4 linked regions of the Arabidopsis thaliana genome follow. The protein of the gene in region 4 interacts with the protein of the main gene of each other region in a pairwise test. Each region holds a gene or a part of one and is shown on either strand. Other genes may lie near its edges. The genes, in order: BZIP53, bZIP2, bZIP1 and BZIP9.

Evidence for each region.
Region 1: the proteins of BZIP9 (region 4) and BZIP53 interact in binary tests that used the Arabidopsis thaliana proteins (3 or more experiments, as listed by UniProt).
Region 2: the proteins of BZIP9 (region 4) and bZIP2 interact in binary tests that used the Arabidopsis thaliana proteins (3 or more experiments, as listed by UniProt).
Region 3: the proteins of BZIP9 (region 4) and bZIP1 interact in binary tests that used the Arabidopsis thaliana proteins (3 or more experiments, as listed by UniProt).

What each region holds. Positions count from the first base shown.
Region 1 is NC_003074.8:23,089,363-23,097,357, reverse strand, and holds BZIP53 (basic region/leucine zipper motif 53), read left to right. Parts: upstream 1-4,507; 5' UTR 4,508-5,073; coding exon 5,074-5,514; 3' UTR 5,515-5,772; downstream 5,773-7,995. Other genes in the region: SAF1 (F-box/RNI-like superfamily protein), read left to right, coding at 1-576, 746-883, 964-1,254; AT3G62430 (Protein with RNI-like/FBD-like domain), read left to right, coding at 2,054-2,938, 3,047-3,187, 3,276-3,563; CP12-2 (CP12 domain-containing protein 2), read right to left, coding at 5,957-6,352; AT3G62400 (cytochrome C oxidase subunit), read right to left, coding at 6,685-6,945.
Region 2 is NC_003071.7:7,895,534-7,903,738, forward strand, and holds bZIP2 (basic leucine-zipper 2), read right to left. Parts: upstream 3,710-8,205; 5' UTR 3,271-3,709; coding exon 2,755-3,270; 3' UTR 2,479-2,754; downstream 1-2,478. UniProt on the Arabidopsis thaliana protein: Transcription factor that binds to specific DNA sequences in target gene promoters. BZIP2-BZIP63-KIN10 complex binds to the ETFQO promoter to up-regulate its transcription.
Region 3 is NC_003076.8:20,048,287-20,056,253, reverse strand, and holds bZIP1 (basic leucine-zipper 1), read right to left. Parts: upstream 4,426-7,967; 5' UTR 4,110-4,425; coding exon 3,672-4,109; 3' UTR 3,519-3,671; downstream 1-3,518. Other genes in the region: ACLB-2 (ATP citrate lyase subunit B 2), read right to left, coding at 40-116, 202-262, 352-486, 563-686, 776-841, 925-1,027, 1,107-1,206; AT5G49440 (uncharacterized protein), read right to left, coding at 6,791-7,336. UniProt on the Arabidopsis thaliana protein: Transcription factor that binds to the C-box-like motif (5'-TGCTGACGTCA-3') and G-box-like motif (5'-CCACGTGGCC-3'), ABRE elements, of gene promoters involved in sugar signaling.
Region 4 is NC_003076.8:8,511,460-8,519,516, reverse strand, and holds BZIP9 (basic leucine zipper 9), read right to left. Parts: upstream 4,318-8,057; 5' UTR 4,259-4,317; coding exon 4,145-4,258; intron 4,040-4,144; coding exon 3,949-4,039; intron 3,852-3,948; coding exon 3,680-3,851; intron 3,588-3,679; coding exon 3,512-3,587; intron 3,434-3,511; coding exon 3,308-3,433; intron 3,231-3,307; coding exon 2,976-3,230; 3' UTR 2,848-2,975; downstream 1-2,847. Other genes in the region: AT5G24810 (ABC1 family protein), read left to right, coding at 65-163, 237-294, 398-473, 554-683, 769-926, 1,095-1,167, 1,246-1,437, 1,557-1,650 and 1 more; AT5G24790 (transmembrane protein, putative (Protein of unknown function, DUF599)), read right to left, coding at 6,453-7,025, 7,274-7,441. UniProt on the Arabidopsis thaliana protein: Transcription factor.

The sequences.
Region 1 (7,995 bases), on a different chromosome or scaffold from region 4:
TTGTGGGTACATGGCAAACAAGGATATACACTGCCTTTTGAAGTTTTCACTTGTGAGACAGTTACTAAACTCTCACTAGGGTCTGGGTTTGCTATTGACTTTCTCCCTGAGAATGCCCTACTTCCAGCGCTCAAGACTCTCTCTCTTTATCACGTTAGGTTCTACGAGTTTGGTCGTTGTGCGTTCAAAACGCTTCTTGCTTCGTCTCCCGTGCTCGAGGAACTAACCGTGTGTGGTGTCAACTGGGAACTTTGGAAATGGTCCCGCACTGTTTCTAGTTCTAGCCTTAAGAGACTTACTATAATGCGTAAACAGTGGGATGCTTTTGATGATTCTGATTTTAAGAGCATTAGTTTTGATACTCCTAGTCTTGCCTACTTATATTACTCTGATTATGTTCCTAAAGAGTATCTAAGTGTTAATCTCGACTCCCTTGTTGAGACTAAGCTCTATCTTTGTCCGGAAGAAAATTATATGTGGGGTAAAGGAGATGAAAAACGATTTAATCCAATAAATCTGCTTCATGGGCTAAAAAATGTCGAGACTCTTAACTTGTACACTATCATGACTGCAGAGGTAAGTTTACTCTATTGTTTTCACTCGATCTTTAAATTTTTACAACTACTTTTTAAAAAATGTTTTACATTTTGGAACATTAGGTGACGTATAAGAATCAAAATCTTGCTAGGTAGTTCTTATGTTTCTAATACTGTAGTTGGTTGGTTTTCTTATATATATGTTTCAGATGTTTTATGTCTTCCGTGAAGCACTCCCAGTGTTTCAAAAGCTGTCTCATTTATCCGTTAATCTCTCTAACTTCTGTTGGTCTTCTATGCCAATGCTGATCAAGAAAGCTCCAAATCTAAAGACTCTCAACATCGACGTATGTATATTGCAAACACAAAAGTTCATTAGATACTCATATAGAACCTTGAATCTCAAGTCTTCTGCGTCTTGTTTCAGGGTCCCTTGCACTACGAGAGTTACTATCGTTGTGCAGGCGATATTTTTTGCGAGTGCGTGTCAGAGTATTCTTTCCTAGTTTCATGTCCTCTGGAAGTCCTAAAGATAACTGAGTACTATGGTAGCTTTAGAGAATTGATGCAAATGAAACATTTCTTGGAGAAATTGTCATGTCTCGAGCTAGTGGAAGTTCATTCTCAAGCAACTGGTGAAAGAAAGCTGAAACTCATAGCAGATCTGGAAAGGCTACCCAGAGCTTCGTCCAAGTGCAAATTCGAGGTCGTTTCCTAGATTTACTTATTAAGTATCTTCATTGATTCAACAAAATTAGGTACAAACCTTTGTTGACATATAAGAACGTTTGTCGTTTTTTTTTTTTTTTTCCAATCTATTTTCAAACAAACAGCTTCGCATTTTCTCATATTCAACTATAGGAATTACACGTCCAATTTAGATTGAACCTTCAAAATCGTTGAAATAATAATTTATTTTATTCTGAATTAAATAGAATAATCTGAAAAATCGACTGAAAATATATGTAATTTTAATTTGGTAGTTTTGTTATGCTTATACCAAATAATTCAAAAATCTAAACAATTCAACCCCACACTAAACCGAAATTTGGAGTGGCGGACTACAGGTGGCGCAAAATGATTGGCTCAAAAACGAAAAGGTTTTGTTTTTGTATCCGAGTATATAAAAAATGAGCAAAATTAATAGATAATAAAAATTCAAATTTCTTTCCTCTGCTCTCAAGAAAATGCTACGGCTCCGCTCTACTTCTTCGTCCATTTCTCATTGAAGATTCAATTTCGCTTCAGAAATCTCTCAAATTGATCGGATTGAGTGTCTCGTCTACCCCAATTTCTGCAAATTACGCTTCGGTTTTCTTGGTTCTGCATAAACGCGATTGCGATGATTTCTAGGTTTCTGCTTCATGCCTACATGTGAAGTAAGCTCGTCTTAGCCTTTGAAATTGATCTAGTTTGGGAATTTTGGTTGATGTTGAAGTCAAGTCACTGAAGGTTCCATTAGAAATTGAGGTTTTTCTGGGTAGTGAAAAGAGGGTTCTTTAGGGTTTGAGAAAAGAATGGATAGAATCAGTAATTTACCAGATGGTGTTATCTATCGCGTGATCTCCTTACTTTCGACAAAAGAAGCTACTTGCTTGAAGTATACCTCCAAGAACTGGCTGAATCTGGTTACCATCATACCGATTGCTGTTTTCGTTGATTCCTCGGCGTCTGCCATTAGTGCAAGTTTCAAAGATTTCGCTGATCGAATAATGTTAGCTCGACTTGCCAGTCACCGTATTAGGAGATTCTCTCTAAAGTTGCAGTCTTTGAATTTTGCTCAGTATAAAACTGTCAATGATTGTTTACGCAATGTGTTGGAGTGTGGAGTCTTGGATCTTGAACTGGACATCAATGTCAGAGGAGATTACTCACTGCCTTCTGAGATCTTCACTTGCAAGAGCGTTGTGAAAATGAAACTAGGGTCTGGTTTTGTTATTGACATTCTCCCTAAGAATGCTTGGCTTCCTGCTCTTAAGACTCTCCTTCTTGATACAGTTCGGTTCGAATTCGATAACACTGCTGGTTGTTCGTTTACAAAGCTTATTTCTGCTTGCCCTGTGCTCGAGGAGTTAGTCATAGATGGCCACAACTGTGAAGATTGGAAATGGTCTCGCAGAGTATCTAGTCAGATCCTTAAGCGACTTACTATTCGGCGTAAAGAATGGGTTCATGATGGCTCTAGTTTTGAGCCTATCAGTTTGGATATTCCTAGTCTTGAATACTTTAAATACTTTGATACTCTCCGAGATAGCTATCCAGTTGTTAAGCTCAACTCCCTTGTGGAAGCTAAGCTAGAACTTCCTTCTCTTTATATTGGGGATACCTACAATGTTAGGAATCTGATCAAGGGGTTGAAAAATGTTCAGATTCTGCGCTTAGGAGCTGTTGACACGATGCACGTAAGTGCTCTCCACTGAGATATTAAAATAAAAAATCTTTCTATACATTAGAATGTTTATTGAAGTTATGACTGACTAGTTTTTTTTTTTTTTTCAATTCTGTTCCAGCTGTTTTGGGTCTTCAGGGAAGCAGTCCCAGTGTTTGAGAACCTGTTTCATTTATCAGTTAGTACTCATGACGCTATCTGTTGGGATGATCTGCGTATTCTTCTTGAAAAATCTCCAAATCTAAAGACTCTCACCATTGAGGTGACCAAAAACCCCAAAAGTTCATTGGACAAACAAAAGAATTGAAACTCACAAAATCTTCAATCTCAAAATTCCGGTCTTTTTGCAGGCTTTGCATTATCATGGCTATGGGGATGAAAACTCTGTTTGCGAATGCTTGGATGGGTATTCTTTCCTTTTGTCCTGCCCTATTGAGATCCTAAAGATAACTGAGTTCGGTGGAGAGATTGAAGAAATGGAGCAAGTAGAGTATGTCTTGGAGAATTTGCTGTGTCTGGTGCTGTTGGAAATTCATGTTAAGACAAAGAAGATTGACAGAAAGCTGCAGATCTTGGCGGATCTCCTAATGCTTCCGAGAGCTTCATCCAAATGCAAAGTCCAGGTCAAGTTTGTTTGAACAAACAAGTGTTTGTTGCCTCAACATGAGAACTGTTGGAGAAATGGTGCAAATAAAGCACATGTTAGAGAAATTGCCAAGTCTTGAGCTTTTGGAAGTTCAGCTTAAGCCAATAATAAGAGCTGACACAAAGATTCAGATCATGTTGGATCTCCTAATGCTACCGAGAAATTCATCTAAATGCAAACTTCGTATCAAGCCCTCTTGAACAAAATCTTAACATATCCCATTTATTGACATGAGAGAACTGAGTTTGTTTTTGTATCACACTCTTAAATCTTTGCATAAGCTCAGAATCTAGTTTGTGAAGATTGTGAGAGAAGTAATCTTAAAAAGATCAAACTTTTGTTGACATAAGCTTGGCGTTTTTCTTATCTCTAACTGGATTTTTCGAGTGTGTAAGGGAGAGCTAAGCCCATCAGCTGAATTAAGGCTATTATAAAGCCCACGAGCCAACTTCCCAACTCAGTCTTGTGTTTTGTAATTTAAAATCGTGTCAATAAAATGATGTAATCGTCACGTCATCATTTAAGTTTTAACCAAAGAGAGCCGCATATAAACAACAATCTGGTAGACTTTCGTTATAGTTAATGGTCGTTTTATAATTACGCTTATGAATTGTGTGTTAGACGTTGCTTTCGTGAGGAAATTTTCAAATTCAGAAATATATAATATTCAGTTAATTAACACTTGGCAATAATATTTGATATTTTCTGAGGAGGCATCTTGGTGGAATATTCCATCCGTGAACAGACGGAGAAACTTCCCTCAACAAAACGTGCTTCCCTTATAAAATTCCAGCTGGCGGCGTCACAGCTGGCGTCAGTTTCCCCCAGTTGCGTTTTAAAAAAAAACAAAATAAAAAGATTTATGACCAAAAGTTAATTATCTTCCTTTATTAAAATATTGTAAAAATAAAGAAAAAGGCTTAGGACAGCTCATCACCATCTTCTCCTTTAAAAGGATAAGCTTGGTGTTACTTTATCGCCTTCTTTCGTTTGGCCTTTGATCCTATCATAAGCTTTTTTTCGTTTATCAATCTTCTCGATTCAGCCACAATTCTTGTTTCTCAGATAATTCATCTCCTTTCTTTGATTCGTTTCCTTCTCTTCTGTCACTCAGATCTAGATCTAGATCTAGGTTTTTTTCTTTCTCATCGGAAATTTGGCTTAGAGGCTTGTTTTGATCTAGGGTTTGGTTTTTGGGAATTTTGAAAAAAAAACAAAATTAGGAATGAATCTATGAGCTACTCAATCCTGTTTCGTCGGATTCGAATTCTACACTCTTTCTCCGTCGTTTACCTCTACTACACCTACGTTTTCTCATGAAGTAATCGTTCTCGATCTCAGTTTTCGTTTTTGATCTAACTTATTCTTTGATAGATTTAGAAATCGGGGATTTTCAGATTGTGTTTTTGAGAGGTTTTTATAGGAAAATATCTCTAGAAGAAGAAGAATAATATTATATTGATTTTAATTTTGGTGAGAAGAAGTCAAAAAGTCAACGAGAAATGGGGTCGTTGCAAATGCAAACAAGTCCTGAATCCGATAATGATCCGAGGTACGCCACGGTGACGGATGAGAGGAAGAGGAAGAGAATGATCTCTAACAGAGAATCTGCTCGGAGGTCAAGGATGAGGAAACAGAAGCAACTTGGTGATTTGATCAACGAAGTCACTCTTCTCAAGAATGATAACGCTAAAATCACTGAGCAGGTTGATGAAGCTTCAAAGAAATACATTGAAATGGAGTCTAAGAACAATGTCTTGAGGGCACAGGCTTCGGAGTTGACGGATAGGTTGAGATCATTGAACTCTGTGCTTGAGATGGTTGAAGAAATTAGTGGTCAGGCTTTGGATATTCCTGAGATTCCTGAATCTATGCAGAACCCTTGGCAGATGCCTTGTCCAATGCAACCAATCAGAGCTTCTGCTGATATGTTTGATTGCTGAAGATGGATGATTCATATCTGAAGGATCAAAAATGAAGCATTGAGTTCGAGTCTTTGGTCTGTTTTACTTACTGTCCTTGTTGTAACAATTAGTGTGTCATTGGTGAATTGAGTCTTGTGTTGTCAATGGACAACGCAATCTTTATGCAATTTCAATTTGTTCGTGTCTTTGTATGGTTTTGTAGCCTCAGTCCTCTAGTCTTGTGTCTCATGTAATTGGTGTCTAATGTGTTTCTTATTGAATTCAAGCTTTCTTATTATTCGCTGCGCATTACCTGTTATGAAATTTTGGCTTTTGTATTCGTTTATGGAACTACAAATTACAAATGTTTTTAGAGCTAATTCAGATTCAAAGACATGATTTATATAACCTGACATTACCAAATGGACCGGAACAAAGATTTGTCGTATACGTATGAATCCGGAACAGGATCTTGATCGCTTCAGTTGTCGTAAGTACGGCACTCGTTGGTCTCAGGATTGTCTTTGCAGTATTCCTCCAAAGGGTCCGAACCATCAGCCTTCTTCTTGTCTCTAGCATGGCTAGCTGCTGCGCTAAGTTCTTCAACCTCGTCCCACGCAGCTACACACTCTCCACTCACAGGATCGCCCGCACAAGTCTCCTGAGCTTCCTTAATGCTTTTCTCCACTACGTCCGATATCCCTCCTTCCGGTGCTGCTTTAATCGGCTGAAGTTTCATCATCCGGTTAGTTGTTCTTGACCCAAGATTCCACGAATTGTTCAAATGGACCGGACCGGCGAGACAAACTGGCCGATTCTCGCTGGTGACGAAGACACGCTGGGTTGCAATGTTAAGACCAGTAGCTATAGTTGCCATCTTTGGATGGAGAAGGTACACGGCAGCCTGTGAATATAGTTTTTGATAAAAGAAGATAGTTCAGATAATTGGGAGGGAACAAGATATATGAAGTGTGCGTGAATTTAATTCTGTGAACCCCATTTCTTATCCTCTATTAACCAACAATTAAGTTCCACGTATTTGATATCGTTTATGAAGCAGTACGATGTTGAAAATTTGCAGCCATCCAAGCCGTTTTCTAAGATACAAGTGCCTGTTGCGTATTTTATCCAAAAAAGATGAGAAAAAATAAGCTGGTAAGTATAATAAAATGATCACACACTGTTTAAGGAAAAGTCAAGACAGATGTCTCAAGTTTCAACCACTGTATCTCCGGAAAACAATGTGTTAACAAATATCCAATTTTGATGTCTGAGTGGTTGTTTATTTCTCAAGCAACCAACTTTCTTAGGTAACTTATCTGAGATCTCAAGAAACCATAAAAACAGAAAAATCGAGCCAACAACATTGAGAGTGAGAGAGAGGCATTCCCATTCACTCTTCAGAGGCGACAACACCGATCTCACCTCTCTCAAGCAAATCATAGAAAGTTCTAGTTTTCCTCTGCTCATTCCAATGGTGCATCTTCCAGAGACCACCAGCAGCTAAACCAAGCGTCAAACCAATAATCAATTCCTTGACAACACTCGGGCCTTTCAATGTGGCATGCGCAACCTTGTGTCCTGCCATTTCTTCTCAACCTAGCACACATTTTAATCATAGAGTCAATACTAACATAATTGATACTTTCACAATGCTCACGATTCCTAAAGCTGAAAACTTTATTGACAACCAATAAAACATCTATACACACACACACACTAATCTACCTGATCTCTTAATTTCTACTGGTTTGCACTTGGAGTCTATATATACACATAAACATGTACAATTTCGATCCATTTTCTGTCTAACCTCTTAACTACGTCTCTATTCAAAGGAAGATATCAAAGGCTTTGAATTTATTCCCAAAATGATACAAGAACCCTAATCCACAGGATCCAGATACTGAAAATAAAATTGGCATTTCTCCCGAAGAAAAGGATTAACGTTTCAAAGCATCACAACACTAAGAGCATCAAATCTAAATCAACGGAAGATTTAAACGAGAAATTCCGATCTTAAGCACACCGATCTACACGGGAAAAAAAACGAGAAATGGATTCGAATCTGATAAAAATTAATCGTAACTTCACAATCCGCCACCTATCTATAACGAAAATCACCACAAAATCATAAAGGAAACAACAATTATCATCAAGGGAAGAATATGGACTTTACCGAGTCAGATTGTGTAGATGAACGAGACAGAAGCTCACGACGAAAACGAAATGGTGGGTGATTGAAGAAGTTGCGTAAGCAGATAATCACTTCTCTACTCCATTTGTGTCTTATTGGGCCTTAAACATGGGCCTGATCTCTTATTTCTTCAATGGGCATTTTATGGAATTTGCTTTTTAAAAAAGTAAACCATTCGCTGCTCGTGTTCCCCGAGTGTGTCCCACCACGTTAATAATGCCAAATCCAATCTGTCAACACACTAAACTAATTTCCTAATCCTGAACTTTTTTAAATAATCATTATCTTTCCCTCTGTTCCGTTAATTATTGTAAAATTCATGA
Region 2 (8,205 bases), on a different chromosome or scaffold from region 4:
CTTAAGAAAACATGAGATTTGTTTTTTATTGCATAAAAAAACATTTTAGCTTGATTTTAGAAGCAATTTGGGTTGATTGCGAGGTATATTATAGACTTGAATTATGGAAGTACTTTGGCTTAATTCAGAGGTTATGATGAACTTGAATATTGGAAGCAATTGGGTTAAAACAAATATAAAAAGTAGAAGTACATGGCTTAAAAACAGGAATGTAACCGATTGTTAGATAATTATAACTCTGATATACCATGATCGAGTGAGGATTGATATAAAATTGAACGACAATGTTATTGCTCTCATCAGAAGTATCTTAGGGTTAAGTACATATTTATAGTTGTAGTGTTTCCTATGATTTTATATTATGAACAGTTTTCAGAATTTTCTTTAAATGGGCAGTGGGCACAATGCCCAAAAATAACTTGAGCCAGCCTCTATAAGAAGTGTACAAACAATAACTAAGTGGGCCAAACTTCATTAAGCTTAGAACAATATGGGCTGAATAAAGCATAATTATGAATATATTAATACATTATTTTTTGTCTAAACTTCATTAATTTTTGTTGTTTCCATTTTGATTCATCACTATCTAAGTCTATTGTTCCTTAGAACAATATGGGCTAAATAGACTTAGATAGTGATGAACCAAAATGGAAACAACAAAAATTCTTAGTATATTTAGACAAAAAATAACTCTGTCTCAAACAATACAACCCTAAGTGAGCTCTCCAAGGCTCATAGTCGCTCCGATTTTATGTGTTCATCTTTAACATCCTCAAAAACTAATTATCTTTAGAATGAATCAATAACTAGCTCAAACACTAAAATTCATTGTGAACGCTCTCTAATAAAACTCATAGGCTCTTCAATGTTACATGTGCTCATCCTTAACATATCACTCTTTGATTTTACGTGTGTAAGTCATCCCTAATATATCGACAAAACGGTATTAAATCATGGACTATCCACGGCATGGTGTAGAACTTAATATTATCGAAGATACAACACTGTATGTGTCATTTATCCATAATCCTTGTTTGTTGCTTTATTACATTTTGTTTTGTTCCATAAAAGTTATCTTATTTCAAAAAGGCGTACAAAAGTGTTTTATTTATGTGTATTGAGGTGAAAAATGCGAAATGCTTATGAATCACATGTGTACCCATCAGTACACTCTTCTGGATCTTTAACACAGGCAAACAAACAAAAGTGCTCATTCATATATAGGCATACCTAATAATTGTCTCATGTCATATACGAAAAATAATAGCCCATCGTTTGTGATGAGATCATTTATATATATATATATATATATATATATATATATATATTGAACAAATCAGAAGAAACAGCCAATAATTTTCAGCAAGTGTAAAGCTTCACATATACGAGAAGAGAATAGGACATCCAATAATGATTATTTTTATTTTGTTGGTGTTTATATATCGTTTTCATATATGTCTTCATATAACATAAAGTTAAGATTAAAATCGTAAAGACACAACACCAACCTTTTTATATATAATAAGATTCAAAAAGATAAAGGATAAACATAAACCATATTCACTCACAATAATACAAGTGTACCGTAAATATGGAAATGTTTGAAGTCACGGATTAAATTCGTGTTGGAAAAAGTTTGCTTTCTTAAAAAAAAGAATAGATTACGTTCATATGCCCTGACCCTGAAACATCTAATATTAAAAAAAAAAATATAGATTATATAATATACACAATATATATCTATAATACAATATATTCATAGAGATTCTTAGAAAAGATAAATGCAAAAGCAATAAAACTAAATTGACGTTATATGTTTTCTTGGCCACATATGTAATAAATACAAATAAATCTTCAAGATACCATCATTAATATGAACGTTTTGCGTTCGTACAATAAACTTTATCACTGGTGTTATTACATTTGAAAAAAAGGAAAAATCATTGAATTTTAAATTTATGTCCTTTTGTATGAATGATACTTTTAAGCAAAAATGTTTGACTGACGAAGGTTTTAATACATTTCTAAATAATTATCATACACCTAAGATTTGCTCATCTGTGTTTTAACTAAAAAAACCATAATCTTATATTAAAATGATGGGTTCTTGCAACAAAACCCTCTAAACATATAAGCATCATATATATGTTTGAAGATCTTTTATTTTTCACATACATTATGATAAATTTCTCCTAGTCGCAAGGAACTCTATTTGTTATATAATTGATCATTATTTAGCACTTACGTTGCTGACAACGAATTATATTACAGGTGAAATTTGACTTGGTAGATTTGACATGTTATCTAGAAGTTCCTTTTTATTGTTATTTGCAGAAAAACCAAAACTTAATTGTAAATGCAGCTTATATATATATATATATATAATCATCAATCCAAAATGTGATTTTTTTCATTCTTAAAAATTACCAATCCAAAAAGTTGCTTTTCTCGAAGCATAAACAAACCATTATCCGAATAAACAATTGGAATATTAAGGTGAAAGACAAAATCATGATAACATAAACATATATAATCATATAATTATAACAAAACACACACCAATACATGACAAAGTACAACTCATATATATATGCCCCAATATATATATAAAGTTTATATTTATCCTTCCAACCAATCAAAGATGCATGTACTATAATTACATCATCACACCAACCCAAAAACACCAAAATGGGCTAAATTTTAAAATAAAAAGACAAAAAAGGGGCATCTAATTATTTTAATTAATTTTATTAATCAATACATATTGATATCATTAGCCATAATGGGTTGGTTAGTGTAAACCGAACCACCCCAATGATTAACATTACTCATCATATTCATATCATCGTAATATCCGTCGATCCCAACCGTACGATCATCAAAACCACAGCCGTCGATCTGGTCAACACCAAATCCTGCACCGTTGGATTGAACAAGATCAACGATCTCGTTGAGAGATTGGAGTCTGGTGCTAAGCTCCTCCATCTGAGCGGTGAGAACAGAGTTCTCGGCTTGGATCTTCATGTAAAGCTGAGATGTTACGGTGAGGCTGTTCAAGATCTGACGGTTGTCGTTTGATAGCTGATTGATCTGAGCCGTTAGATCATCAACGTGTTTCTGTTTACGCATCCTTGACCTACGTGCAGATTCTCTGTTCGATAACATTCTTTTACGTTTTCGTTCGTCGACGGTGACGACGGAGTCCGACGGGTTATTATTACCACCGTCGGAAGAGCTTGAGCTCCGGTATGTGCTGCTAGATGACGCCATTGATTTTTAACAAGAAAAGTTACAAGAAGACAAAAAAAGGACAGAGTTTTATGTTTTATGTTTGGTTTTTTTTTATGATCTGTCTGAAAAAATTAATTAGAGTTTGTAGCAATTCATGAAACGTTGTAAAACCAGTAGAGGAAGACGACGGAGAAAGATTGAACGAGATGGGTTCTACGGCAGAGAGCAGATTTGACCGTGAGCCCAGAGAGCAGGATTTCGCAGAGAACGGGAGTCATCAGTTTCCGATCATCAAAAGACTCAAATTTTTATGTTTTCTCGGTCTGAATTTATGATGTCAGAACTTGAAAACAAACAGAGGAAGAGTTTTTTTTTTTTTTTGGTTATTGGAGAAGAAACAGAGGAGCTCTAAATATAAAAAAGAAAACAGCAGAAGATTTTTAAGGAGATAAGGAAGAGAAGATGAGTGAATGGGAAAGAGGTTTTTGATGAAGGGTGTGTTATGGATTATATAGAAACCAAATCTCAAGCATCCACTTGTGTCTTTTTAATTTATTTTGATTTTTTGGGAAATAATGGATGGTGGGGAAAGCTGGAATCGTTTACGCGCCCATTGTTTTATCATTTTTATTTTTTACTAACAAAATGATTCATTATAATTTTATTAAAAAAAATATGTAGGTCAGTAGGTGGATGTTGCTTTTTTATTTTTTTGGTAATGACACTTTACTTTTTGATTGTTTTTTTGGTATTCAAAAGAAAAATATTAATGGTAAGTATAGATTTGTGTGGTTTAATGGTGTGATTAATGATATGTAGTAGGATAGACAAATAGGTAGGTGGTAAAAGTTGACCAGATATCAAGATTAAAAAGAGTGAAAACTATTGAAAATAGTCAATGTCTTGAAAATTGCATGTAGTCAATGTAGGAATTACAGAAAATCTTTGATAATTTTTGTTGCCATTAATTCAGTCAATGGCTTTGAATATTTTGATACATACAATTGGTGAATTAAAAGTGATATCAAATAGGAAGGTGATAAATTTAATAATTTTCCAACGAAATAAAATTTTGTAAAACATTATTTCAGCCAACATTTTAAGAAAATATAGAATATTTAAAAATAAAATTTAAAGTATGTGGATTAAGTAAATTCATGAGGATTTGTGGGATTGATATGTGCTCTGATATTTCAATCTAATACAGTAATTTCGAGCCATGTGATTGATATCAAAATTTTGAATTTAGTAAATGATTTCGAACTAAAAATGTTAGTATCTAATTTGTGTGTACTAGATCATTGTTGTTCGTCTTAATTATTGAAAAGTCTCATAAAGTGTTTGTACGAGTTGTTGAATTTGTTTAACACAAAATAAAAGCTGATCTTACTGAAGGTAAGAACTAAAATGAAACGAAAACTGTCACAAATTGTTAGAAAAAGTTATAATATAGTTATAAGAGATAAATCTGAAGTATGTTTCTAATTATTTATAAATTGTTACAAATCCAATGAATGTCTAATACATGTAACACGTATCATTAATTCATATTCTACAGATAATGTTTACTCCATTTTCAAAATAACTACACTACATCATTTGTAATAATTTCAATTGATTTACTAAATTTTCATATCTATAAAAATGGATTATTCTTTTCTTATTGGTAAAGACACACAAAAAATATAAGAAAATAAAGCACTATCATCATCAACATCATTTCTTTATTTGTATATCTTTTTGTTTACAATTTTAAATTTAATTCTATAACATTTTACAACACTTATCATTACGCGTTTTAATTGTTTGAGCTTTTGAAATTCAACTTCAGAAAAATTTCCTGTGACGAGTCTAACGGTCGGATAATCTTTATATTGATCACAATTGTTTGATGAATAACTATAAACATACATTAAAACAATACTACAGGCAAATTAATTAATAAAACCTTATATTAAAAATAAATTACATATAAATAATAAAAATTAAGTGATAAACCACAATTCAACCAACTCCTTTTCTAAATGAAACAATATGTAAAAATGTAGAGAATTGAAAAGTAATCAAGAACATGAACAACAACAACCTTCAATATTACACCGAATTTTTGTGGACAATATTTTGGTTGTTTTAAAGATTCGAGATCAAATTTACCTAAGTTTTATGAACAAAATGTTATATATGAAATTATAGAATATGTTTTTAAAATGCTCTAGAAACACTTAACAATGTAAGTTGATCGTTTTATCATACGTTATATATATATTTTAAATTATATCATTGATCATATTTTAAATCTAAATTTTGATACAGCGATGATATTAACCAAGGAAATTATAATTTAATAGTACGACTTCAAGTATTTCATAGTTTTTATTTTCTTTTACACGAGTAATTATTTTTATGTCGGCACACCACGCTGAGTAGTAATTTTTTTTTTTTTCGTCCCACGCTGAATAGTAACTTATAGCGGGTAAAAAGGCTAGACAAATTTAATAATTTCCCTTCACCTGAGACAAAATTTATTTACCGTTGGTAGTTAATTTAGTTACCGTTAGTAGACAACTTTCATAATTTCACCGCCTACAAAATTTAGACAACAACAGTGCACGACACCGTCTTTGACGCAGAATCTCTTTTGTAGATCTGCACCGTACGAAACCACGTGCATTGCACAATCCATGTTCTCAATGAGCGGCTCTTAATACACGTCAAAGTTCCAGTTTTAATTTAAACCTAATTAATTATGAGATTGGCGAAAGAAAAATAATTAAGTATTAAACATATATAAATAAAGGTGATTAACACTTAACCTCTAAGCAGATGCAGGGGACAATAAGCACATGGGTCCATATAGCTCATCTCTTCTGGAACTTCATAGCCATTTTTTAATTGTATAAAATATTGATAATCTATCAAAATCAGTCCCTAATCGATGATGAAATGACGACTAATTTCTAATTGGCCATTAGTGTTAGGTAAAATCACTCAAACATAAGTTTATTTAGAAAGATATGTAAAATACATTATAAAAAAAAGATATACAAATTAGTAAATTTATTAATTTAAGACGAAAATTATAGAATATAATTTTTATTTTCCAAAAAACCATCACAATCTTTTTTAAATAAAATTTCTTTAAAAAAGGCTTTGTAAATATTTTCTGGTATTTAAAGAAAAGTACGGTTTTAAAATATTTCCCACAATTTAATTCTCCACCATGTATTCGGGGAATCTTTCTTTGTCAGAAATTGTATTATTGTTATATATTCAAGTTTTAAGTGTTTTGCTTTAATGAATGACGTCCCGGTTTACGTATCAAGTTTTAACAATGGAAAAATATACTAACTAGGTTTTCATGATAATAAAGTTAAGACAATGCAAAGTTAGGTCGGAAGGGGCCATCAAAATATGGCATAACACTCCTTTAAAACATTTTGTTTAATGTTCGAATGGTTCAATTCTTTGTTAAGATTTGTGAAAGTACCACTAGCATATCCACTTTGCAAATTAGATATAATTAAAATCTGCATGTATGGTCATGTTAATAGTAATATATAGGCATTAAGCAACATTATAATGTAGATTTCTAGTACTGTTCACGGATGCGATAACTTCAGAAGAAAATACTTGAATACCAAAAATAAAAAGAGAAAATTTCTCCTAGATTTTTATCGTTTTAAGTGATTGAACATTTAAAACGCTTACAACAGAATACATACCTAATTTTACCTGAGAGTCAATATATTTATTCACAAAAATTAGTCTTGACTCTTGTATAATAGTATTAGACAAGGTTTTATAAAAAGTCTACAAAAAATGGGCTGCGTAATGAGTCACAAATTGTTAGCTTCCAACTTTGAGAAAGAGAAGCGAATAGTGGAAATATGAGGAAAAAAGTAACTGTTAAAATAAAATTAAAAAAGTAAAGTCACTGCATGCAACCACAGCCCATAGGTCAGACCTTAAATTGGACCATTCCTTTTTTAAGAAAATTAATTTCTTAATTAATTTAAAATTGGTAAAAAATGAGATGTCAAATAGAATTTAATCTCACTTTAATGTGAGGTATTAATATATAAATATCTCAATGATGTAATTGATGAGGAATATTCCCAAACAACGATTTGTTTTATATTCATTGAACCTCTTTGTAAAAGTTTAAACATGTAATGGGCATATCAATGAGGTCACTTGTCTATGATTATTGAGTTGATTAATTTATAAATGACTTATAAGTCAGCATTTTCGGCACATTAATAATTACTTCGAAAGCTTTATTTATTTATTTTGTTTGTCTCCAACCAAAATGAAAACTTATATTCTTACAAGTGAAATTATTAAGCTTAGCATAAATATCGATAGGGCATACTCCTTTACTTTCTTTCTTTGGGGCAGATGAGCATACTCGAAAATTAATTTATAGTGATTCATTTTGAAGACGGTCTATTATAAGCTGCATACCTAAAAACATTCGCTTTTTAAATAAAGAACCAAGAGTCTTGAAGTTAATAGTTGTATTGTTTCAAATAATCTTAGTGATTTAGTAGTTTCTTCTTTGTTTTGGTCGGCATTAGTTTAATATGCGAATAATTAAATACAATAACACCATAAAATCGAGAAAGAGCTACTATTGTGTACTACTTCACCACTAAGCAAAGCCTTCAAAGAAGCAAAAATAAAGCTTTATTTTACTTCTGTTCAAGAAGATTTTGTAAAAGATTACAGGTCATGTGCTTCTGTTAAAAGTGATTTGATTCTCTGCATCTTTAAAAAGTAAAAAAAATCACACGGTTGTTGTCAAATGATTTTGTTATGTCATATGTGATATGTGTGTGTGGAAGAAAATTAATTTTATTTTTGTAATTGAATTTTGTTAAATACATTTCATTACTCTAATTCTTTTTTTCTTTTTCTTTTTGAAAAACTAGGTTTTGAACACCAAGCGGTTTAATTACTAGATTTGAATGTCTA
Region 3 (7,967 bases), about 12 Mb from region 4:
AGCGAGCAGCAGGTTAAACAATTGAAGATTGGTATATACCTGTGGGATGTTGTTAAACCGAAGGATGTGGTCAGATAAAGTCGATCCTGGGAACACGTCTCCACCAATAGCAATGCCTATAACAATCCCCCAAATATAAAACAGTGTTAACAATCTTCAGCTTAATACGTCATTAGTAGATTATCTTACATTAAAACTCACCTTCGTAGATCCCATCAGTCACACGGGCAACAGTATTGTACATTTCATTAGACATTCCACCCTGCGGGAAAAGAAGAGTAACGAATAAAACTCTCAGACATCAAAGTGAGCTTTAGGCAGATTATGAAATTTTGCAAAATCAGCACATACAGATTTGGAGACAAAACCAACAGATCCAGGTCTGTATAGCTTGCACTGGATAATGTTATCAATTGTTCCTGCAGTATCACCAATCTTAAAGGCTCCAGCTTGAATACCTCCAACAGTAGCCGGTCCAATAACAACCTGAACCAATTCAATCAGTCTCACAAATTAAGTTCACCATACGGTTAACTGAAGCTAATCATCACACAAAACACACCTTATTGTTTGCACGAGCATACGCAATCAGCTGCTTAGTGTCTGATTCTGGAACACCTTCAGCTATAATTGCCACAACTTTAATAGTCGGCTGCTTCAAAGCAGCCATGGATGAAGCAGCAGCACTATAAAACAGAAGAAAGAATGAAAACATCAACAAAACTATCACAAAGAGGCAATGCTAAGTTTATTCCATGAAATTCTCATAACAAACCTCCTAAAAGATGCAAAGTTGATGAATACATCCGCTGTTGGATGCGCAGCACAAGCTGCCTCAATGCTGTATAACAGAAAACAAGTTAAAACAAAATTTTCACATAGTTAGTTCCTCTCAAGAACTCACATGACATTCTCAAAACTTACGCGGCATGAACAGGGATAGCGATTTCCTCCTGCCCGAAAAAGAGCTTTTGAAAACCTTCAGAACCAGGATTTATGATTCCAGCAACAGAAGGCGTTTCACGTCCTGTAAAAGCAAATCATCTTTAACATCAAAACTTGATCCAAACCAACTGAAAACTAGACAATGTAAATTGTTATGTTACCACAGAGAAAGTCGAAATCGAGCATTCGTTGAACAGGAAGCTGCTTATAGTTGTAGAACAAAGCTTGTGTGGTACGAGAAAAAAGCTGTCCCGTTGCCATAGCTCAGATAGAAAAAACTGAGAATCACAACAAACAAAAGAGAGACAATGATCAGATCCACAAGCTATAAATTGTTCCTATCTCAATGTCGAATTCGAAATTAGGCAACATTACACTAATTCGATAATCACTAACAAACAGATCTCATTACTCCATTAACGAATCTGGGATTGAGAAAGAAAAAAAGTTCCGATTTTTACGCAACCCTCCTCGTAAATATCGAAACTTTGGTATCAAAAACACGAATCGGAATCAAGACAGATCTAAGAAAAAAAGTTACGAATTGTTAGAAGAGAACAGACCTGGTCACGACCCGAGTCGAGTCAGTGATTAAGGAGAGAATAAATGGTGGTAGAGAGAAAGAGAGAGGAATGGTTTAGAGAGGAAGCACCATTAATATAGAGAAATGGGAGGGAAACAAAAGCTTCTCACAGTCATGTGGCTTATTGGTAGGTAGTTAGTTCACAACTTCTTTCTACCCAAAATTGATTTCTCTATCTTACATTGACAAAGAGAAACACCTAACAGTTTTTTTTTATTACAAATTTGTTTTTGTAACATCTTTTGTTTTATTTTATTGCAATTTTGGTCGTTAACATGTCGTCCTTGCTGGTGGTGTTAATGAATAGGCTGTTTTGTCTTCAAGATTCAGCAATATTTTTTGAAGATTGTGAATCACGCATTCATCAAAACATTGTTTAATGTGTTTTTGAAGTATTTTAAAAGTTAGAACGTGTTATAATTTCTTCCTAATCACAAACATAAATAAATGTAAAGAAACATGACTAATGAATACTTGGAGAGAATGATAGAAAGAGAGGAGGACTCTTTTTTTGGCTTATACTTTCTTATGGAAGTGAAAGTGGTTAATCAATTGTGCAATAAAACTTATGTTCGTATATATTGAAGTAAAGTGATAAAGATTTATTGTGCATATATAGATGAGCTCTACACGAATATATGCATACTTATGTCACTTTCTCTTGCTTGATCTAGAACGTTATCATACTAAGACTATGTCTTACGGACTTTTTGTTTTGTGACTTGTCATATGGTCTATTTTCTGAGCGAAAAGAATTATCGGGAAGATAAACTTATGCCGTTGTGAGGTTTCCTGACCATTGCTGTGGACTTGTGGTCGCATATTTCATTCCTGACCATTGCTGTGGACTTGTGGTTGCATATTTCATACTCCTACAAAGAACGGATATGCTCTACGAATTGTTTCAGTTTAAGGAGGCGATTTTTCTTGAAATTGATAGACATATCACTAGAGCTAAAAAATCACCTCGATCATATTTGAAATCATTGAATTTTATGGTTTATGATAGTTCATCTATTGTTCTATACATCGAATATATATATAACATTTATAGACAAATAAATCACTTAAAATCAATTAAACTCCTACGCGTTTAGAATACTCCATGTTGAAAAAGATAGAAAAATCTTATAATTATCACATTTTCATTAATCTATGGGCTTGAATGGTTTACCGTATACCAGTTCACGTGGTCACGTTTTTAAAACGTGATTCCGCTATTTTTACCTTTCAAAATTTTATCAAGTTTTAACGTTTTCATGTTTAAAAAAATGATTCCATTATATAGCACTAGCGTATTAAAAATTATAACTAAGAAACGTGATTAATCTACAATAACTAGTTTTTTTTAGCAATTTATAATCATTCTACATAAACTTTCTTTAGTTCATTTCATTCAGCTAACCATTATTTAGTTATTCTATTGTTCAGCTATCCATCTCACATACCAATCAAACCCATCAAAACGAGAAAACTCTAAACTAAGGGGTAAAGACTTGACTGGTACATTAGTTGAATAACTGAACAATACAATAGCGGAATCACCAGGACGACAAAATTCAAAACGGAATAAACTTAACACGCCAAAAAGCTACTTAATAAATGACTTTGTCTAAACTAGTTAGTTATACATTTAACACATGCGAAATAGATTGGAAAATAGCTTATTAATTTTCACGGTTTATCACTCCGTGGTTATTATTGTGAATGGTATACACTCGGCAAAATCACGTTTTGAAACACATGAACATGCAAATAAGACACATACCATTCAAGCCCTATATTATTTTGAATTATTCATAAAATTGAAAAATTTGACACAAAAAATTGTTATCGTGTTACCAAAGCAATTTTTATCGGTAATACTCAATTATGACCAGAACATATACTACTTCCCCACTTTTTGCTTCAATTTTGATTACTTCATCAGTTCTGCCATTTACATGCAAGGTACCAAAAAAACTTTTTTTTTTTCTTTCGGGTTAACCACCGAAAATCATATAACGTTAAATGAAAATGTTGAAAACAATAAGATATGCAATTGTATCAGAATTCAGAAAGTAATGAGAAGAAACAATTCGATATAAAAAGATTACAAAAACTATAAAATGACCAAAGTAAAACACACACTAATACACAAATCTCATGTCTTAAAGGACGCCATTGGTTGTAGAGAACCACAACTCAATTTCCACGGTGTACGTCTACAATCTCCAACCGCTATTCCCGCGTTTGCGTTCTGATCGTCGACACAATCGCCACCACCACTCTGCGTCAGCGTTAAACTCGTCGTAGCAATCATATTCTCTAAATCGCTAACGTAACTCGAGAGCCAAATCTTCTCCGATCTAAGACCCGCGTTCTCCGTTTCGACCGAGTCAAGCCTCTGTTTTACAGCTCGACATCTCTCACTGTTCTCTTTGATTCGTCGTTCAAGACTGGAGATCTCATGAATCGTGTCTTCCATTAACTTCTGTTTCTTCAAACGCGACCTCCTTGCAGATTCGCGGTTTGATAACTTGCGTTTTCTTTTCTTCTCATCTATGTCGGAACCTGAACTTGTCTTCTCTGCGTTTGCCATGTTTTTTTGTTCAAGAGATAACGTAAAACCAATGAAGAATCACAACTGATATAGAATGATAAACAAGGAATTGGTTGAGATTTATCATTTCATAACTCTGTCCATTGTCTTTTCATAACTCAAGAACTCAAGAATTTCAAGACAAGAAAAAAGAATTTCAAGAATCTGTGATTTTGCGAGGATCAAGAGAAATTAAACAAGAAGATCTTTATTTATGATTACGTTTGATTTTAAGAGAAGAGAAGAGATTAGTTAGAAGAGAAATAGAACAAGGAAGAAGATAAGGATAAGATCGAAAATAAGGAAAGTGGGAGAAGTTGTTCGTTTTAGGTTGCTCTTATTTATAGATTTAACATTATAAAAAAAAATCTCGAATTTTTACATTAGAAAAGATTATCCAAATTGTATAAGAAAGGAAGATTCATCGAATGACGAATCGGAAAAGAAAGAGAATTTTAGTCAAACATTTTTATTTTTTACTTTTTTGGTTTATTGTTTTTATTTTATTTTATTTTTATTAGGACATAACAGCTAAATAGGTGTTGGTGTTGTTCCTTAATAGGTGACCAGTAATTACTATTTTTGCTTTTTAGCATTTAAATTGTTGTTTTGTTGTGCATTTAGTTGTCACACTCGTAGGATAATTCAAGAAATATCCTACGAAAACTAGATTCTATAACCTTCTAATTATGTATATATACTTGTCCAAATTTAATTCATCGTTTTGTAAGTCCCTTTTTCTGCAACTCCAGTAAAAATAGAGTATGATTGTCTAAAATCAGTAAACTGGATCAGTTAATGTCAGTGGGTAATGCATTAGCTGACATAAACACGTTCCGATCATTATTTCTTCTTAGTTCGGTTTTAACTACTAAGCATTTCAAAAAGTTACACAACCATTTTAAATTTTAAATTGCTAATGGGACAAAAATACCTCATTTAGAAAGAATCATACGTACGTAAACTATATCGTCAATGAAACACGAAGTTCTTTTGGAATTGGACAGGTTAAACGTGGAGCAATGACCGACTATTTTTAGTGTTTTTAATTTTGGGGATTTAGAGATTACGCTTAACATGGTTGACAATTTTATTATTAAAGAAAATTATCCATGTTGAAAGCAAAATTCCATTTGATATTACTTTTGTGTGGGTCTTATCTGAAATGATTTTAGTAAACTAAAAGAAAGAGACTGTATATATTGATAAGCCAGCCCTGCTTTCTTTTCAAATGAAAATACAAAACAATAGAAGATGGGCGATAATTTATTAATTAATATAATACTTGAAAATACACGATCCTTATCTGCTCACCGATAAACTATATATCATTATTTATTTATCAGATAAATAAAATACTTCAATATAATTATTTTTCATAAAAAAAAAGTAGATGCACTTCATTGGTTGGCTAGTTTTAGAAATTTGTTTAGGTTCTACGGACCTTTTGTTCGGGTCTGAGTCAATCTTGATATTTGAGGTTTTGAACAAACTAGAAAAAAATGAAAAAACTAATGCAGAAATCTACATGTAAATTGCTGTTAATTGTTATTTTATTTTAAGTGTTTATAACGTGGTAAAGTATATTAAAAGTTTTATTTAGATAACAAATTTATTATTATTTTTGTTTGACATATTTTCATTAATAAGATCTGATCTATAGATAATCCCTAACTATTATCCAAATAACGTGATTTAATAAAGTCAAACTCCAGTAGAAAATGTGGAGTTAAATAGGTTTAACCAATTGACTATTACCACCATTATTGTTTAAACTACTGGTTACATATTTCTTTGTTTTTTTTATGAAATTTGTTAAATTTGTAATCATATACATGATATATTGAAATTTAATGTTTTGGGTTTTAGGGAGTGTTGTAGTTTCTCTTTTTTTTGCCATTGATATTTCTCTATCAACTTTCTTAATTATTTTTTTAATTATTAGTTCCAAATTGTGGTTGAAACTTAGTGGTTTGTTTTAAAAGTGTTGTTGTCATATTAGAATCCTAATTTATAGTTTAAAATGTATGTGTATAAACTAAATGATAGAATAAACATGCAAGTTTTTTTTTTGAACCCTATATCTAATTTTAAGAAGACAAGTACAAAACAGAAATAAAACTTCTCAAATTCTAACACATTTATCTAAGAACGTGAACTAAATCAAGTTTAACAAATAAAAACATTTGCTCCTGTTTATCGTATTAAGAAAGTTTGCATTCTTATTTTTGTTTTCTTTGTTTTAACAGTAGTTTTGTGTGTGCTCTAGAAAGTCAATCAAGTGTTTCAAATATAGAATTTTATAATCCTTCTAACGTTATAGCAAATACCTATGTGTACAGAATATATATATATGATTTATCGTCTTCGACTTCTTTGTATACAGACATTTATAATCTTTTAATGGGTTCAATATAGATAATTGCTGATCCGACAATTAGTATATTCTCGTAGTTATCACGATTCATGATGATGATGATGATGATGATTACATCATCCAATTTGTTAGACAATTTCTATGGATGACATCTGATAAACAGAGTGAGAAGTTTGCTTAACGCGGAACATATATACACTCAAGTATTTAAAGAAGATCACGCGCGGCGATTGATTAAGCGAGAACGACGCTACAGTAAACCAAAACCAAATCTAGATCTGTGCCTCTCCGGTCACGGTGCTTCTCACCGGTGGCCGGAGAGGGCTTCTCCCTCTTCTCCTTTCCTCTCTCTTATCTCCTCTGCCTCTCCTTTGAAGCTCCGGTGGTGTTCAAATCTGGCTTGCTCTTCGTCTCTTGTTGGTGGTATGCGGCGAGTGGTCACGCACGGAGCAAAGGACGTGCGGCGTGTCTCTCTCCGTTTAAGGCAGTGGCTTTGATGAGACGACTGTAGCGGTTGTGCGGCTCCTATCGACGGGACCATCTTCCAGATCTGATAAATTGGTGGTGCATCGCCATGTTTCTTCAGACATCGTCGTTCTTCTTTGATTTGGGCACAACGGTGAGTTTTCGGTGTGGCAGATCTTCTCTTCTCGGGTCTCTCTACCTGTTTTTTCTCCAGCTCTGGTGATGGTGTGATTGATCCGACGGGCTTCTCTTGTGGAGGCAATCCAAGGAGTCGTTTGGCTCTTGTGGATTGTTCGTGGTGGTTAGTGGCGTTGTGGGTTTTGTTTGGTGGTCGACGTCTCTCCTCCATTGGTGGGCAGTTGAGGGTGGTAGCCTCTTCGGCCATGGGTATGGATTCTCTGTGTCCATTGGGTTTCGTCCCTTTTGCTTCATCTCTGGTTTGCTTTCAGGTGGAGTTTTGTTGTTCATGGTGTTGTCGGTGTTGGTTCATTTGGTGAAGGTGAGCCTTTGGGTGTTATGGCTATGTTCACCGAGGGTTGAATAGAGGCGGCGGATAGGTCTAAGTGGCATCACTAACTCAACGAGTTAGTGTAGAAGTCCGCGGTTGTCTTTACGTTTTTGCGTTAGTTCTTTGAGAATCTGTAGGCACCTATCTCGAGGTTTGTGGACGGATCTCAGATAGTTGAGCTCGTGGCAACAACGATGAGGATTCCAATACTTCGGTATTGTGGCAATCACGCAAATTTCCAAGTTTCGCGGACTTGAAATCGGTGTTTCCCTTCGCAACTTAGTCATAATTACTCAGCTGCAATCCGAAGTTTTTTGAGTAGTAATGTTGTTTTTAATTTTCTGTAGTGTGCTTTAATCCGTTCTTGTATTTTCTGTAACTTCTGTCAAAAATCTTAAAATGGTATAAAATTTAACTTTTTACCAAAAAAAAAAAAAGTTTGCTTAACGCTTACATATGACGTATCTACGTGGATGATTTATGATTACAAGCTTTTGTAGTTACATTT
Region 4 (8,057 bases):
GCCTCGCTTTCTCTACTGGGGTAACTATAATGGATCCGCTCTTACAGATTCCTCTCTTTACTAGAAAACGTTTAAAACCCTGAACGATCAAAGAGTGCAAAATATGAAAGTTATACAGGAGAAGATGCAGCTCAACCAGAAAGAAGTTAAACGCTTCAATCCGGTAAGCACAAATTTCTTTCAAATATAGCCTTCTCAGGTGACCATTTATATCTCAATGAAAACATTTGATGCAGATAGATGCATTTCCTGGTGATATTGTTATTTTTGCGAGGGTCATTAATTTACTCAGAGGTATAATTTATGAATCATACTACTTTACCTCATTATGTCAAAGGATTTGCTCAATCATAGTACTTTACTTTTTCTTTACTTATTTATTTTGTCGACTATTTAGGACTTTCATCTACTATGAATGTTCGGATTGTTTATCTGGACATCATGAGACCATTTGCCGAATCTGTTCTGTTAGGGTAAGCACCCTTGGAATTTGGCAGCTCATTTTATTATCTCTTTGTGATATATCCCGTACGACCATAATGTGGGTTTTCAGGAGTATTAGTCGAGGACCAACTGTGGATGCTCATTGGATACATGACTCGCCAATCCATTCTGATGTAGAGTCCAAAGTGAGGAAGCTGCTCGCTGAACTTGGGAGTATCCAGAAAATACTTGGAATTCAGGTGGGCAACACTTTTTTTATTGTTTGGCTTGCAGTCAGCTTTCGTTTCATTTTACATTTGGTTTAACATGGCCATGTTCGTTTAGGTGTGTGCATATAAAGATGGGAAAGTCATAATTGACACTGCTGCTGGAGTGCTTGGAAGATATGACCCTCGTCCAGTTCAACCCGATAGTTTATTTCCTGTTTTCTCTGTGACAAAGGGTGTCACTGCTGGAATGATACATTGGCTTGTTGACAAAAGGTGAGTAACAACATTTTAAGCTTTCAAAAAATTTCATGTATTCATTTCACACACCCTGATATTTTGAATCGGCTCCAATCTTACATATTGGTCTCATTGTTAATTCCATGATCCCATTTGCAGAACACATGCTTAGTCATATTTAGTAATATTTATTCAATGATACAGGAAACTCCAGCTCGACCAGACTGTGGCAAATATGTGGCCAGGGTTCGGATCAAATGGAAAAGATACCATAAAGGTATAAGGAGCTACACTGTCACTTAACCATTTCGCAATCTATTGCCCTTCATTTTAATACCTCGGTTTTGTATTTCAGGTCCATCATGTGCTTAACCATACATCTGGGATGCAAAATTCCTTTGACCCTGTAGGAGAAAATCCTCTGCTTATTTGTGACTGGGATGAATGTTTGAAACGGATTGCTAATTCATCACCTGAAACAGAGCCTGGCAGTCAGCAGTCCTATCACTATCTCACGTTTGGATGGCTATGTGGTGGAATCCTCGAGGTAAACTAATTATATCATTCATTGTTTAAGCATAAAAACTATGCAAGTCGTCAAGTTGTAATTTTTTCTCTTACCTCTACTACGTTAATGCCAATCTTGCTTTCATCAATCTTGAACAGTATGCTTCTGGAAAGAAACTCCAGGAGATCCTTGAAGAGTCCATTGTTAAACCCCTAAATATTGATGGAGAACTGTACATTGGAATCCCCCCAGGTAAATAGTAACAGTCACAGACATTGTGAATTAGTAAATTACGCTATGAGCGTTATTAATAATTATCTAACATCTTAATTATAGGTGTTGAATCTAGGCTTGCCACATTGACGTTCGACACTGATGAAATGAGCAAGCTTTCGTCCATTGCCAGCCAACCTGAGCTTCCTTCCACATTTCAGCCTGACAAGATCATACAAATGGCAACCAACTTGCCAGTCTTATTTAACACATTGAATGTGCGCAGAGCCATAATCCCTGCGGCTAATGGACATTGCTCTGCTCGTGCACTTGCAAGGTACTATGCAACCCTAGCAGATGGTGGCCTAGTGCCACCTCCACATTCCTCTTTATCCCAGCCACCACTAGGTAGCCACACCCATGTTCCGAAATTCACGTCGTTGAAAGACACAACAAAAAAGAAAAAGGGTAAGGAGATGGCAGCTACAGAAAAGGGTAAATCAAAAGATCATCAAGAGAGGAAGCTTTATGATGAGAAACAGTTTATGAGTGCTAGTAGCAGCAGAGAGTCAAATACAGAAAGTTTAGCCAGGCTAGTTGATACTAACAGTTCTGCTGGCAAAACTGAGATCAATAGCGATGATCATCAACATGATATTCATAATATGTTTAGCAACCCGAGGATCCATGATGCTTTCATGGGTGCTGGAGACTACAGTGGCTTAGTAGTGCCTGATGGAAAGTTTGGGCTTGGTTTTAAGCGCGCCATTTCTCAAGATGGGTCTCTGGTTGGCTTTGGACATTCAGGGTTAGGAGGATCAACAGGCTTCTGTGACATCAACAACAGATTTTCCATTGCAGTAACACTGAACAAGATGTCTATGGGAGGTGTAACGGCTAATATTGTGAAGCTTGTTTGCTCGGAATTAAATATCCCATTGCCTAAGGACTTCGCAACTGATATAGGTGCAGATTCGCAGATGGGTACGCCTCTAATCAACTGAGGTTGGTTTTCGACGTAAGTTTTGTCTGCTCATGTTACAACATGCATAGCTGTCGCCTTAAATAGCTAATAGAAATTGCTGGAAAGTAAAGTGTAATGGATCAGTGTTTTTGTTTGTTTGTCTGTATACTTACTTAAGCGAACACATTTAAGCAATTTCCTTGGAGAATGTAATTTATTGGCCTATACATGCTTCAGTTTCCAGATTACAATCTGCAGGATTTGGAGCAATTAAGTATATGTTGACGAAACTTGAGTTTATTTAACGAACATGCTGCTTTCATTATATGTTTCTAGTTCTATAGCGAAACACATACAGGAAATTCGCTGAGTGATCATTACATGTTCTGAAGAAAGAGAGTCATGGCCAGATGTCTGAGACGCAGCTAACAGCTTCACTGGATACATTACCAAGTCCAGGGCTTGAGTTCTGTCCAGAAAGTGTCATTCCAGGGAACAAAGATTGGTCACTGTGGACTGTAATGGCGGGCGAGGTATTTCCCGTGTAGTGCAGACTGCTGATGGAGTGTGATGGTGGACTTAGATGAGTTTGTAGAAGTTGATTCAAGCTGCTAGTGAGTGACCCTCTCGCTACCAAATCTTCTGCTAGTTTCACCTATATAGAATTTACTTAACTTAGCACATTCCGGTTATTACTTTCCCAAATTGAAAAGAGCAAGTGATAGATGATACCTTGACTCTCAGAGTTTCAACATCTGATTTGAGAACTCTGTTATTTGTTCCAGCGCTACGAAACTGTTGTGTTGCGTCTATGAGCTGCTTGTACAGTGTTGAGTTATCGCCTTTCAAAGAATCAACCTTGAAGAAAACACAAGGTCACCATTAAAACATTACTCTCTGATACAAATCATCCAACAAGCTATTTGTTAACCTTACCTGAGTCTCAAGATCTACCAAGTACTCTTGCTTCCTTCTCCTCGACCTCTTTGCTGATTCCCTGTTTGAGTTCATCCTGAATTCACATCACAGAAAAAGATTAAGAAGAATTGGTGATTCTCTATCTCAGTGTTTTACATCTAACTTTTTTATTGGTACCTAACATACCTTCTAATACGTTTCAGATCATTGGGATCATTAGTCATTTCAGATTGCCCTGCTTCTGTCTCGGCATCTTCGTCATCAGAGTTAACATGAGAAGATCCACTTGTGGTTCTCCTAACTCCTCCTCTTACCTCAGGTTTATTGGCTGACACTGGACTATCAGCTGACAGATTCTCTTTGTAGATAAGAGCCACACAAGTAGTGAACATTAATATCAACTGCAACAACACTTATTACTTACATGGAGTCAAATCAAAGAGACATGCACATACCGCAGATTGAGGACTGTGCATCGCGAAAAGGTCCAGCCGGAAACAATCCCTCAGACCACAAAAGACTATCTCTTAACTCACAAGTGTAATCCTACAACCAAAAGAAACTAGACTCTTAATTACTACAATATCTCTGGATCTTGATATAGACACAAGCAACAATGATACGAATAAGAGAGACAACAAAAGGACTAACCCGGTTCATGAGGTCGAAACAAGGGTCTAGAGGGCTTGTAGTGAGATACTCTTGTAGAGCCAGCTCAGAAGCACTTCTCTTCATACCAATGTCTTTAGCTGTGTGATTATCCATTTTCTTTGAATGTGAACACACAAGAAAGAAGAGAATTGGTTGGAAAAGAGAGGAGAGGGGAAGAGTAAGTGGTGATAGACATCTTCTTTATATAAGTCTCTCTTCTTTACTAAAGTTGTGAAAAAGCTTCTTAATGGCTAAGCAAAATTGAATTTGCATTGTCAATGCAACGTCCTCATTTCCAACTTTTTTTTTCTTTAATGACAACAATAACAAAAGAGAATAGAAAAGCAAAGCCACAGAGATGTATATTAGGCTCTGTAGTATTGGTGAATATTATGGTACCAATTATATGCTAATGATAACCTTTAATCCCTTAACTAGGGAGACTATCTAAGATAGCTGGAGACTCTTTCAATATAAATCATATCTGAATTCAAACATTAAGTTGTTTGTCAGCTCATTAATATGTTGGAGCTTTTGATTTGAAAATGAATGTTATAGGCATATATATAAGCAGCTTATATTCATAAAAGGATCCTAAAATATTTCGAAATAAGCTTTTAAATATTTGAAAATATTTAGATAATAATATTGTCACTCATGTACATTTGTATTCTTGGCACATGTCAAGAACCTTACACTTACATAAATTACTCTACTACATAACCTGTTTGAATTCGAATTTGAAGTACTTAACGACTAATTTAAGATTAATATACAAGGGGCATAGTCCAATGATGAAACTACAAAAACATTGAAAATGAATAAATTAACCTTTTACGGTAAATGTTTTACCGAATATATAATTTCATAAAACACTAAAAACTAATCTTCATAAATAATTGATAATATTTGAAGGAAAAATATTGATAATATTGTTTCAGTTTTTTACACCTTTGTATCATGTAGTAAAAATCTTTAAAATATTTATTATCATTCATTACTACTACAACACCAAAAAGAAAAACTTAAGAATTTTCCGGTCACACGAACAACACAAAATGCTTCGTCCTTTGTTTACTCTTACTTTTCGCCATATGCTTTTGGAAAGCAGATCTAAAAGACATTTCTTTCCTCCAGCACCAGAAATACTTTTTATTTCATCAACTTTTGTATGCGTAAACCAACTTTTCTTTCTTTTGATCTGCACTTCCTTTAAAAAGTTAAAATATTTCACAACAAAACAATAAAAAGAAACAAACTAGGTAATGTGTCTTTAAACAAACAAAAGTTGTTTAGATCCGAAAATAGAATCCAAAAGCATTTTAAAATTATTATTTCTCACTAACTAGAACTTTCGAACCTATAGTGGACTACAATGTTTACAATCTACCGACTACAGTACAATTCAGTAACCATAGTAACTAGTACAATTAAAATTCAATCCTTAGTGATGTTGAAAATTTTCATGTAATTTAGATGATGATTGATATACGTTTTTTGTAAGAAACGAATTTCTACTTGAGGCACATGCTAAATTTGTAAGTTAAAATACAGAAAATATGAATGAAAATTAGTTTATGAACACAAAAGTAATTTTTGTTTTCTTTTAGCAAAAAAAGAAGAAGTAATTTTTCTGTTTCTACAAACTCTACTTGTAATCTCCAAACGAGGTTTTGCAAAGAAAAAGAAAAGAAGATGAAAGGAATTATAAACAAAGGAAAAGAGAAACAAAAAAAAGACGTTGTTCTATGTCTAGTGATCACTAGAGTAGTTGGGGTGATTTAGTTTTCAGAAATTACTTTTCAAATCATATAACTGTGTTAGTATATTTTTTGGTCATGGGTAGATAAAAGTATTATAGAACAAACAAAAATTCTCATTTAAAATTCATGACAAAAACAAGAATTCTCGTGACCAAATGAATTTTATCAAAGTTTATGTGACCAAATAAAAAACACTAGAATCTTTAGTTTCAGTTTTGAGGGACCAATTGAATCTTTATTTGTTTTTTTTTTTTAAAAATTATTTTTGATACTATAATATTTAGTGTAGTAATTATATTTAGAATCTTTCTGGTTACAGATTTAAAATATTATTCCAGTAAAAGATCATGTATGACGTGAACGAGATTGAAGCTAGAGGTTAAAGATCACAAATAATAAAAGTTCATAAAAGCAAGGCCATAAGTCATAACAAGAGAAAATCTCCAAGTGCATTTATTAACAATCCGGAGGTTATGATATCATCGTCATGTACTATCAATAAGCATCATCCTTTAACCAAAAAAGTCATCTTGCGTCCTAGATTCCTAGTCTTCACCACCATTCGTAAAATCAGAGGAACGACGTATATCCACTATACGTAGTTTTTCTTTATTGTTGTTGCGTGACACGAAATCGAGGTGAGAAAGAACAAGAACCATCACCAAAACGCTAAAGAACACGAGGATGGGACCAAAGATCCATAACATTAGAGAAAAGCCTGCGTAGAACAACCTGTTACCTACCGTGTTAAGAAAGATACCCTTTTCGAACATCTCGCTGACGTGCTCAGACGTGAGGAAGACGCAACCAGAAGGATTAGGGTCTAAGTTAGGGATGTTTACGAGAATGGCGACTTGGTTTAGGAAACGGATGGAGAGGGAGTGGAAGAAAAAGGAGAAGATGAAAATTGTGAGAATTGTTAGGTATTTGATGGATATGGCGAAATCTCCATGAGCACCAAAAACGGCGTCGTTTAGAGGCTTCTTGATGCTGTAAGTGCTGCTTAACACTGCGGCTAGACCCGCGCAGAGAAGCACGCAGGTCGTGGCCATCAGTGTAGCTCCCATTACTATGTTACGCAGTGTTTGTACCGCCAATATGTTCGTCTTCTGATTGTCCTGAAAAATTAAACAACAAACAATAACCAATCTGCATATTTCTCCAATTATAAATATAGCTTATAGGTTTTCTTTTATGAGAAGATTTCGGACCAACCAAGACTAATCAACTCTACCATCTAAACTTATTAATCCTCATATCAAATCTCTAAGAAATATGACAATAACGACTAAATTATACCATCATATTGTTATAAAACTGTAACGTTTTTGATAAGAAGAATGCAATGGCGATGATTATGAAAAACCTTGATCATAGCAGAAATCCAAATCCGGCGGCCGTGAGAGTTAATGCCGAGGAGGGTGGAGAAGGGATTGGTTCGGACCATGAAGGACAAGTAGATGTGGTAACAAATCATCATCATAAGAGCTAAGGGCACAAGAATCGCGTCTAAGTACCATTTCTTCCACTCCATTTGCGCTCTCTTTCTCCTCTCTTTATTTTGTTCAACCTCTTCAACTTTAATAATTTCTTTTGTCGCAATATATATTATATATAAAGAGAACGATGAAAAAATAATAATAATCTTGGTTTTCACATAAAATTTAAGTATACCTTAATTTTCCAATATATATCAATTAATATACATATTTCCCCATAATGCATTAATTACCAAAACACTTCCGAAATTCCTATATTAGCAAAAACTTCCGAAAACTATTATTCAGAATTGTAATCGGTGTGTACATAGATATACATGTTGTTGACTTGTTGTGTATCAGTTTATATTTGGAGTAAATCTGTTTATTCCCTATATTGTAAAAAAAAAAAAATGATGTACGTTTTCGTGTTTTAAGCAATTACAATAAATCATTCAATATTTCAACCTTCTACATGGTAATTAATAGACTAATGTGGTATCATATCCATCTTTATCCTAAACCTTTAATCACCATGTCCATTAATTCGACCACCGTTTCCAACACCTCAAACCCAAGCAACCCTCTTGTCACGATGAATATGTCAAACGTGAAAATATCGTCATCTATGAACTACCTTACATGAATTATACATATCAAATCTCTTCTCTT